Linked DNA regions of Arabidopsis thaliana. The protein of the gene in region 1 purifies or fractionates together with the protein of each later gene. This does not show direct contact. Each region holds a gene or a part of one and is shown on either strand. Other genes may lie near its edges. The genes, in order: RPA2, AT4G18590 and ARF1.

Region 1 (3,754 bases):
AAACTCATGAGCTCAACAACTCTGAATGTAATAAAGAGAGATAGATGTTATAAGGAGAAAGAAAGAAAAAAAGCATACTCTAGCTTGTTTTTTGGGATCTTCAACTGCTGAGCAATTTCATCGATATGTATCCCCTGTTGTCTTGCACTGCAGTGAACAGAACTATTATTAGACCAGTTTTTTAAGTGGAGCAATGGGGGCAGCAATGAGAAAATTCAAACTCACGTGCAAGCAGGTTGCTTTAGATAGTCTAGAATCATATCATCCAAGTTCTTGCGCCCATTGCCATCATTGTTTTGAGAAGAAACCACCTAAAAACGAGCAACAATAATGAGATTCTATTTCTAAGTACAGAAACAAATGTCATGAAGAAAACCAAAAAAAAAAAAACTTGGTGAATTCATCATACAGGGTTCAATAGTGTTGCCTGGTTTGTGTTTGATCCACCTTGAAATGTGGTGTTAACTGACTGAGTGACATCACCGACTTGTTGTCTCTATTGAGAAAGCACAAGTCAGAGAGGGAGGTTCGATTGCAAATTGTGAACAACACAATTTATCTTTTGCTATATTGCATTTTCTTTACCTGTGATTCAGAGTTCTGGGAGTAGAAGTGTATACACTCAATGTAGTGAAAAGTAACCTCATTGAAGTCCATAATAGGCCTGCAACACAAAACAGACGATTTCATATAAATATCTAACAAAGCTTATACAGAACATACCAACGTCTATTGCCAATGGTAACGGAATCAAAAGCATTTCACAACCAAAAATACAAAACATACCTCACAGAGAAAACAAGAAGCTGAGTTTTGCCCTGAAAAGTCTTCAAATGACCACTGAGGCGCACATAAGTTCCATCTCTGTTTCACAGCTAACAATTAGAAAACACATCCAAAACCAAAAATGTGATCTCACCACATAAATCAAACAAAAACCAAAGATACTAACCGCACAGACTCCATTTCTCTAGCGTCGAAAGTTTCACTCACCCTATAAGAAAGGCACAACAACACCAATTACAAACTTCATAAACTAACCACTGCACCGAAAAACAACTCTTGCATCTATCAAAAGGTAAAGTTTCCGAGTATTTACCATCTTTTACAGTCAATTCGTCCTGTTCCATCATCAAGAGTGAATCTAACTTCTGTGACTTTAGATTCATCTTTGTCACACACTAATCCAACAAGTGAAACCTGAATTATACCAAAAACATCACACAATTGAGTAAAAGTTTGACCATATTGACGAATAACGGTAATAAACAAAGAGATCTAGAAATGGTATTTACGTTTGTTAGTGAGATTCCATTGATGACGAGACCAGATTTTTCACCACTGGATTGGAAACATTCGGTGATTTGCTTCACCGTCACTGGAACAAGACCTTGAAAATCACGATTCTGCATATTCCCACAAAACATATACAGAGCAGATTTAGCAATTCCAAAATCGATTGTTACAGAGAAACGTTTAGCGATTCGGAAACTTTCGATCTGTAGCCTAATCGGTGGAATTGAACGAAATGGAAGATGGATTATATTACCTTAGCGGTGGAGGAGGAGGATTCGTAGGCTTGAGAAGGTTGAGAAGACATGAATCCGCCGCCGGAGAAGCCGGAATTAGGCTCGAATTGGCTGCTGGAGAACATTTTCGAAGCTACGAAATCGGAAAATCGAAAGTAACTGTGAAGAGATTTAGGAAGTTGAAAAGTGATCAAAGTAAAGGGAAGAGAAGATTTTGGGGGAATTTTAATAGCGACGAAAGAATTTTTGGGGGATTTTCCCTCCAATTTTGATTAGAGCTTCCCGCCAATTAGGGCGAGGTAAATCTATAATATAATTACTTTTTAATAAATTCAGTTCTCCGGTTTACTCTCAGTTCAGTTTATTCGACTCAAAAGCTTTCCGGTTTAGAAGACTTATGATTTCGATGGGCTCCTGTGAAGTTGGGCTGTTGGACTTTGGAAAGAGTTAGGCTTTAAACTTGTTCCTCTCTCTTTTGAAACAGTAGTGCCTGTAAGAGAGAGCAATAGAGTGATAAATAATAAAGAGATATAGTGGATGATGCAAGATATTCGTGTCGAGATTTACTCGCGGTTTGTGAGGAACTCGTAAATCGACCTGTGCATTTACCTTTATACAATTTATCAAGATAGCTAGAGAAAGTGAAGTCGAGAGCATTCGTTATCTAAAACAAATGTATAGATAAGTGAAAAGTGTACTAGATTTATGATTTAGCAGATAAAGATTGATTAGCTCTTGATCTTCTACCAAATGAAATATAGATTAATGTAGAGTGTACAAAGCACTGGGCAAGAGATACAAACTCAGCCAAAACGTAACATTTTCAAAAGACTAAATCAGACAAAACAGAGACCCAAATGGGCCTAAGATACTTGAGTACTAGTGAAAAACTTAGATAGATTTACTCACCAAAACTCTGGTCACAAAATCAAACAAAGAGGAGAGACCTGAAAATCGAGGAGCAAGACTAATAGGTGACATTGTTGGGCAGATTCCTGATGACGTTGCTCTTCATTCCGAGCCTGACACTGCTTTTCGCTCCTCTTTTGTTCATCTCTCTCATCACCTTCATCCTCACTATGGCCTCCTTTGACTGCACTGTTGCTAGACCCATCATCTTGTACCTGTGTTTTAAGACCCATTCACGTCAGATTCAAATTCTACACAGAGACAGTGATAAATGATCTCTGATCGGTTAAAGACAAACCTGGAGGTTAGAGAGTTGACAATATGCTTCTGAGAAGACGGTGCTGGCTTCTGTTTGTAGTAGCGCATGAATTCTCGAGACCCAAGAGTCCTAGACGTTACTTTGTTATCGGTTCTCTTGGTGATCACAAGCTCAGACCCACCAAAAAGCTCTACAGTGTTCACTGACTCACCGGACACAACCATCTGATTTTCGTCTCCATTGACATAGCTGTACAAACACACATCAAAAGAAGACACAATTAGTTCAAGCACATTTAGACACCAACAACAGAGGAGAAAGCAGAAGAAATGGAACCTGCTGCTGTAGTCATAGAACTCTTCAAGTTCTGCATCTTCTTCATCACCACCATCACCATAATGCACTTTGCAATGACCTTTGGCGTCCATATGCTTACGAACAGCTTCCAAACTACTAAATGGATGGCACAATTCATTGCAGTACAGACACACGAAGTCTCTCTTGACCTGAAACAACAACCATGTAAGTACTAAGTAGCAAAGAAAAACAAAGATCTAAGACAGACTAAGCACAAAGCACAAACCTTTAGACCGAGGTAGGTCAGAAACCCTTTAGGATCCTTCAAGTACTCAATATCAGGAATGAAGAACCCATGAAACTTATGCATATGAACCATACATTTCTCTATAGTCTTATGCTTCTTATCACACATCAAACAACAAGCCGGATCCAACTCAAATTCAATACCATCTTCATCCATATCTTCTTCTTCACCATCCTCATTCATTTCCGCATCCAAATCCTCATCCGAATCAACCTCAATCCATTCATCTTCACTCTCTTCCTCCTCAATCGAACCCTTCAATTGAGCAGTGTTATTCTTCTCAACACGACGAGGCGGAAGCTGCTTGATGATCGCTTTATCCTCCTCTCCAGTACTCGTCGAAGCCTTCAAAACATGACTCTTCGACTTAAGATGCTGCTCATGAGCCTTGGAACTCCTGTAACCTTTGTTACAGATTCCACAACTATAAAGCATCGGTGCTTCAACAGCTTT
Region 2 (3,393 bases), on another chromosome or scaffold:
ACTAAACCTACACTGAGTAATCACACGAACAACCAAAAGATAGCCCACATGAATTTCAATTGCAAGATTTACCCAAAAAGTGAAAAAATGTATCAGAATCAGTGGCGAAGAAGCAGATTAAACCACAAAAACCCTAAACGAGAAATCTATAAACCTCCACGAAACACACACAATATTTCAAGTAATCAAAAACCTCAGAATAATTCTTTAAGATATCAGAAAACAAGGGAAAAAAGGAATCACCTTTGCTCAGGGATGGATGGTGTCTGCTACACTGATTTCTTCTTCGTGACAAATCTGTTCGGTTTAAGTTTAGGTTTTGTCTTATGATTCTTCCATAATGGCTAAATCCCGGTTTAACCGGACCAGTTCTTAACGCTGTCGTTTAAAAATTTTGGACTGGGCCGTGGGCTAAGGTCTTTTCTTCAAAACTGTGTCATTGTGTGAACCAAAAACAATCTAAAATTCTAGAAAACATTACTAATCTGCAAAATTCCTTGAACATTTTCGTCAAAGTTGTGTGTATAATTTTTTGACCAACAATTTTGTGTGTTGTTTATGCTTTAGTTTAGATTTTTTTTTCTTTCCTAATTGTAAGTTTTAATGTAGATATAGTTTTTAGGGATTTTATATAGTTTTATACCATTTACAAGCTAGGATCCAATGTGATGGAATCAAAAGAAAAGCAAAGAGAACCAAAACACAAAACAAGAAACATAAGATTCATAGTAAGATCGACTAACACAGTTTACCTTAATTCTAATATGACACAGAAGAGTTTTCATACAGATTTCAAAGACCATAAGATAAATACTAGAAACCGTGAAACTAACATGAAACAGAAGAATTTCAATACTAAAGATCAACCAGGCATATCAATAGCTCCAACCCAAAGAATCTCCAAGAAAAAAGCTTTCCACATTCATCACCAATACCCTGTGATTTAGATGAACAAGTGTCTAAACTCACCATTTGCAAGCTTACATAGCTCATTGTAGTTTTGCACATCTGCAAACAAGCCAAGACCCCAAATCAAGACACAAGAATTTGCAAATCATAAAGGACATAGCTTATTAAAGGAATGATTTTTGCTTAAATTCATACCGAAACTATCACCAAAGTTGGTCCAAACTTCAGCACGAATAGTGTTGTCAGTCTCAGCAATTCCAATTACCTCAAGGTAAGTAGTTAAAGGCGGTTGAGGAGAACCTTTAACAACAATCTGTTGATCATCAGTCGATTTACCAATCACTGATCCAACATCTGATCTGATAACTTGAATCACTGCTCTCACTTTCTGACCAATGTACCTTCTCAACAAAGCTCCATTCACAAAAGCAGCAGGACTTGATGTATCCATTCTCTATAAAAATCAAAACATTCATTCGTCTTTCTCACTGAAACTAAATCAAATTCATATCATCTAAGTCAAAATCGAAGTAATTATCCTCAAATCATTAAGTAAATTGGTAGTGTCAGTCCCTAATTAGACCAAAATCCAAATTTCAAATCAAGCAGATAGATTTAGACCTATGTATAAGAAGAAATTACTAAAGCCTTGTGATTTAACAGTACCCGATTGACGAATTAGGAGATGCCGGAGAGAATTTCCGGTGAGGTTTCGGCGGGAAGAAAACCCTAGTCTCTGGATTGACGAATGAGAGGAGAAGATAGGAGCGAGGTCGAGAAATTAATAGTGTTAAACCGAACCGGTTTGTTGGAAGCTGAACCGCTCGAGATTGGTTTAATCAGAGACACGTCAGCCAACATAAATTAATTGGAAAAGGTTTAGAAAAGGGAAACAAAATAAAAAGTAAATAATCCCTATTTATATCGCTAATAAGATTACTGTTCATCGCTAATCTCTAGTTTTCGCCACCGCTGATGTCTTGTTCTTCTCTTACTGAGTTTTGATAATTCGTCGACGATCAAATTTCTCAAGATCTGATAAACGATTTTCTCTGAATCTTCGATAAGGTAATCCTATGTTTATTTGAGAATTCATCTCTTCTTTGAAATAATTCTCCTTTTCTGCTATTTTTCTATGGAACTTTTGGTTTTGATTCTGTTTATATGATCACACGGAAAATTAGGGTTTGCGTTATATTTCTTGCGGAGTAAATTTCTGTTTCGAACGATCTGAATTTCTTGTTTTAAGATGGTTTTCGCCGATTTGGTATACAAAGATGTTAACTTATTGTGTGGAAATTTCTTAATCTCTTTAGGTTTCTTCTTCGTTATCTCTTCTTTGTCTGGTTAGCTTATATCGTTTTTAGGGTTTTCTTAGATTTGTGCTGATCTCTCTGTTTCTCATAAAAGTTGTTGCAATTGCTAACAGGTACCATTTTTGAATCAGGACATGGCAACATTGGCACCAGTTCATGCTGTTTCTGTTCTGCATTCTCGGAAGAGGGGAGGCTGCAACGGTGAGCTCACTTTTCACCTTTTTTGTTTTTTACCATTTGATATTATCCTTTAGGTTCCTTCTGTTTCGAGTTTTGAGTTTTTAATCAGGAAATTTTGTGTCGTTTTCAGGAGTTCCTTTACCATATCTGATCCGACCTCGTAGGAAAATTCCCCCTGTTGATACGTTTGATTTCTACAACGATTCTGATGATGAGAGTGGTGAAGGTGATAAAGGTAATTGTTTTTGCTTTGTGAATGAGACTAGTGCAAGTAACTAAATCCGTTCTTTGTCCATTCGTTTTTTAATCGATCTGTAATGTCTTTGTTAACTTCTGACGTATGCATCATCAGGTCATTCAGATGACGAATATGTAGTCGTAGACAAAGCTGAAGCTATTATGCCCAATGTTAAAACAGAGAAACCAGGAGCTATTCAAATGGTGTGTATTCTAGTTTCGCATAACTTTTAGCATGTCTTGAAACTATATCCTTTCTTCTGTTTTGATTTTCCTAACAAATACGTCTCTTTGGTTTTCAGATGGAACTCTCAAAAGATGCAGTCGGTGATGATGAGTCTAAAGCCAAAGATGCTGGATACAGCAGTGATGAGTGGTTTGTTGTGTAACTAGGAGGTGCAATCAAAATTTGCAGGGTTTGAAGTTTGGGGTTTTAGGGCAATGGATTTAGTTTTATTTCTGCTGTCTCTTTGAAATATTTGAATATTTCATTCTTAGCCGCGACATTATTGTGAAGCTTTTATCAGTACATATGATAAGATGGGTTTCCTTTGAATATCAACTGTTTTAATCCTTTTTCAGCAAGACGATCGAGAACGTATATTCACAAGAGTTATAGGTCTTTTAAGACGAAAGAACAAAAAAACAAATTAAATCGAGAAAATGACAACAAGAGGTGGATTATATATGAAGCTAAGATTGCTTCTTTAACAAGGGGTAGATCGAAAACAAAGTTTATGTTGATGTGTTT
Region 3 (3,754 bases), on another chromosome or scaffold:
GCTCTGCCTGAGCTTGCAAAGTGAAGCACAACAAGGTATAATATTCTTTAGCCAACCCATTTCATGAAGAAAAGGTAAGAAACTTTTATCATATATCATGGAATTTAGCCTACCCTGCGCTGGATGTTGATAACTTTACAGAGGATCTTAGATGGGAGGTTGAAGGAAGGCATCTGTTGCTCCAAACCTTGGTGCATTGATGCCTCGAGCTGCACAGGAAGTGACCAATTAAATGCATAAATGTGATAATCAGATAAGATGAAAGAAACAATAATCATGTGAAATCAAAACAGGTAGTGCATTTATCCGTTCTATACAACAATACATGTTTTGTGATTTTACTTTTAAACTAGAAAGCACCAACAAGGTATTTTGAAGCGACAGTTGACACAGTAATAACAGTCCAATTAACATAACCGGCTTTAGCAAATGATAATGTTAAATGATTCAACCCAATAACCAACCTGCTCCATGTGGCCTTCAGGGAAATAATAAACTCGTTCCCCTTCACGAGGTAGGGTTACAAGAGGTCCAGCACAGGCATGCCAGAGCTCCCTACATAAAGCATCACTTAAAACTCCTACAAAGAAACAGATATGGGTTATGTGACGCAACAATATATCTCAAAAACAAAGCAATGGTTGCAATCTCCAAGGCTTTAAAACCCTTATCCAGTTCTTAATCATCCATTTCAAGTTATGCAGAATCCCCAAACAAGCTTAGAAAGTGGATTCCCAGTAGAAAATAGCAAAGAATGGTATAAAAACAAGAAATATTCCACGAACCTCCAGGTTTACCAGATGAATGATTGGAAGCTGCCATTAGGAATCTACTTACTTTCGATAAATTTACCTGGGCAACAAAACAAAAGAAGAGAAAACTATAAGATTGAAATGTTATTCTGAAAGAGAAAAGAAGAAGATGGACCTATCCTCCTCTAATTTAGACAAACAAAACTCTGATAGATGTTATTATGTAGAAACATTTAAAACCCCATTCATAAATTTACTGACAAAAATGTGGGCCATTTATGTAACTGCTTTGTTCTACATTGTGTCTAAAGCACATCACAAGACTCAGATTCTCAAAATTTTATTACCCAATTTGAAGAGAAAATCCAATAATCACTCAAACAAAGAGGTAAAAAGAAAGAACAAATAAAGCAAAAGCAAGACAAGAACCTGCTCAATAACATACCAAAAATGAACAGATTTTAGTCCTTAATAACTTCACACAAAGCAACACCAAAACTGTTACTAAAACCATCTCTACAATGACAAGACTTCAAACTCAGAACCTAAAATTATCATACAGAATCAAATCTAAGAGAAGAACACAACAGCTACAGACAAAATTTCAGAACCACCAAAGAGAAACCTCATTTAGAAAGCTTGAAAAGGAACGATTTTTAGATCAGGAACGAGAAAAAGAGTTGAATTTTGGATATGAAACAAAGTAACGATTCCTGATCTAGATTATCCCCAAAATCAAAATCCTAGTAAAATCGACAAACCCAGCTCAAATCTGACTACAGATCCTCTAAAGTCTCCTCCTTTTCCAACATTTACTAAGCAGAACCAAGCAAAACAAGCAAAACCCAGAAATAAAAATCGAACCTTTAACTTAAAACCACTGGATCCAAAGCGAGCTAGGGTTCAAACAAAACCCAGAAAGGGGATAGAAGAGAAACTAAGAATTGCTGTCAAAAAATAATGTAAGAAGAGGAAAAAGAAAACAGTAGAAGATTGATTTGTAACAAAGATGTGAGAGAGAGAGAGATAAAGGTGTGTATGTAAAGGTGTATACACACACCGTCAGTGTTTGGTTGAAGCCGACACGAACCCTTTGGCTATGGCTTGCCTCTTTTTCTCCTCTCCTCTTTATATTTTTTTTTAATTGTGTCGTCGCTTTGGGTTTTTGTTTCCAACCACAAGCAAATGACTTGCTCTCTAGTCTCCTTAACTTTGAAAAAAGAGCTTTTCTTTGAGAAAAATTCACTAAACTAGCCATAATTAACGGATTTATTGGGTTTAGCTGTTAATTTAGTAGAGATTAGTGAACTTGTATGTTTTTAGACTTTGCATACATATTAAGAATTTTTTTACTACTACAAATATATTCGTGTTTAATAAATATTCATTAGTTGTTTTATTAATTCAACCCTAGTTAATAGGAGATAAAATTAAAAAAAAATCTACATTTATCTTTATGAGACAATTTTTGGTTTCTTTCTAAAACTTATATTATAAAGAAATGAGAGAGTAATTATTTTTTCTGTATTTCAACATTATGTGAATTGAAAGGTGCATCATGAATCATGATTTTTGTATTTTCAAATTAGATTATATATTTAACCAAATTCATATGAGTGACAAAATTAATATTGTCATATGAATCTGTAATGTTTTTATCTGGAGCTCGGATTTGACTATGGAGGAGACACTAGTGAAGAGATTTTGTAGCGATTTAGTGCTATCATGTGAATCTCATCCATTATTTCTGAGGGTATTTTTGTTGAAAACAATCAAGTGTAGCATCTTCTCGCTTGTTTTGCAAAATTCCAAAACCTATTACTTTTTCTTAATTCTTTTCAAAAATATGTCTATGTAGCATCCTAATTGTTTCTTAGAAAATACTCAAAATATGAATATAACATGTGACAATTCTGCTAGAAAAAGAAAAGAAAAACAAAAAAACTGAAACACTCTAGGCAAAAATATCAAGCATCAAAATTGATAACGAAGTTCATGTAGATAGAATCCAAAAATCCTTGAGCTAAGAAAGCGGCACAAAGCGAGACCACCCAATTCTTCCAAATATTCTCTAACAAATAAATGTATAAAATTTTTTGGTGGTTTAAAGTTAACTACTAATCTAATCGAATGGAGATGGAGAGCGAGTTAGCTTTAAATTGGGCATAATGATTTGCTACTAGCCTAGTTAGAAGAAATGACAGTCCACCTAAGATGAAATAATCTGTTATTCTAGAATTTCTGACAGAGGAGAACCCTTTGAAATAAGATATCTAAGAACTTTCGACGTTTAGTTCTGGAATCCTAAGTTTCTTTCTCTCTTCTTAAAAGAGATATGAAACAGGCTTTGAGATTTGAGATTTTGTTTTATTTTTGGCAAAAACATTAGTCATCGCTTCTTGGCCAATTATTTTTGAAAGTTAATTTTTGCCCTTAATATGATTCTCTTTTTTAAAAAGGATAGTCTTTTTGCTTAGAGGATGGCTCTGATCACTATGTATGTATATGAGGCTCATCGTCCTTTGATGTGAATGTATGAGAAGTTATTAGAGTTAGCATGTAGTTTATAAACACGCATTAATGGTACAGTTAACCAAGGCCACAACAAACTACTTCGGCACCAGCGTACTTTTGAAAAATGTGTCCATACTTGATAGGACAAAAGCGGCGGAATACCATGAACCGTTCAAGATTTGAAACCCATAACCCAAATTTGGTCGTAACGTGGTAACTTGATAAATATAAATTCATATCCTTTGATTCATATAATCATATTCATAATAAAGCAACTCGACCCGTATAAGCATACCTATTATTCTGTTTTACTTTAAATAACTCACTACGTGAAATATTTGACTAGGAATTTTCACATGAAAGTTGTAGGATTACTTAATTACATTAAAACTATATATTTTAGTGTGTTTAAACAGTAAATAGCACAATTGATTACATAGTCCCTAGTGACTACTTTCATATCTTTATATATTTTCTCTTTAAAAATG

What was found.
Region 2: the proteins of RPA2 (region 1) and AT4G18590 purify together in Arabidopsis thaliana (affinity purification with mass spectrometry, with the first as the bait; one large-scale study listed by BioGRID). This does not show direct contact.
Region 3: the proteins of RPA2 (region 1) and ARF1 purify together in Arabidopsis thaliana (affinity purification with mass spectrometry, with the first as the bait; one large-scale study listed by BioGRID). This does not show direct contact.

The regions. Positions count from the first base shown.
Region 1 is NC_003071.7:10,398,763-10,402,516, forward strand, and holds the start of RPA2 (replicon protein A2), read right to left. Parts: upstream 1,737-3,754; 5' UTR 1,655-1,736; coding exon 1,550-1,654; intron 1,407-1,549; coding exon 1,296-1,406; intron 1,201-1,295; coding exon 1,100-1,200; intron 995-1,099; coding exon 953-994; intron 865-952; coding exon 787-864; intron 665-786; coding exon 586-664; intron 497-585; coding exon 410-496; intron 312-409; coding exon 226-311; intron 148-225; coding exon 79-147; intron 1-78. Other genes in the region: FZF (Zinc finger protein 622), read right to left, coding at 2,497-2,653, 2,737-2,946, 3,034-3,203, 3,281-3,754. UniProt on the Arabidopsis thaliana protein: Component of the replication protein A complex (RPA) required for DNA recombination, repair and replication. The activity of RPA is mediated by single-stranded DNA binding and protein interactions. Required fo cell division in meristems.
Region 2 is NC_003075.7:10,234,491-10,237,883, reverse strand, and holds AT4G18590 (Nucleic acid-binding, OB-fold-like protein), read right to left. Parts: upstream 1,724-3,393; 5' UTR 1,576-1,723; intron 1,364-1,575; 5' UTR 1,361-1,363; coding exon 1,105-1,360; intron 1,009-1,104; coding exon 944-1,008; 3' UTR 616-943; downstream 1-615. Other genes in the region: AT4G18580 (uncharacterized protein), read left to right, coding at 2,360-2,426, 2,536-2,640, 2,758-2,846, 2,945-3,031; AT4G18570 (Tetratricopeptide repeat (TPR)-like superfamily protein), read right to left, coding at 3,350-3,393. UniProt on the Arabidopsis thaliana protein: As part of the replication protein A (RPA/RP-A), a single-stranded DNA-binding heterotrimeric complex, may play an essential role in DNA replication, recombination and repair.
Region 3 is NC_003070.9:21,977,482-21,981,235, reverse strand, and holds the start of ARF1 (auxin response factor 1), read right to left. Parts: upstream 1,898-3,754; 5' UTR 1,813-1,897; exon of another isoform or gene 1,617-1,812; intron 853-1,616; 5' UTR 823-852; coding exon 786-822; intron 581-785; coding exon 465-580; intron 210-464; coding exon 114-209; intron 8-113; coding exon 1-7. UniProt on the Arabidopsis thaliana protein: Auxin response factors (ARFs) are transcriptional factors that bind specifically to the DNA sequence 5'-TGTCTC-3' found in the auxin-responsive promoter elements (AuxREs). Seems to act as transcriptional repressor.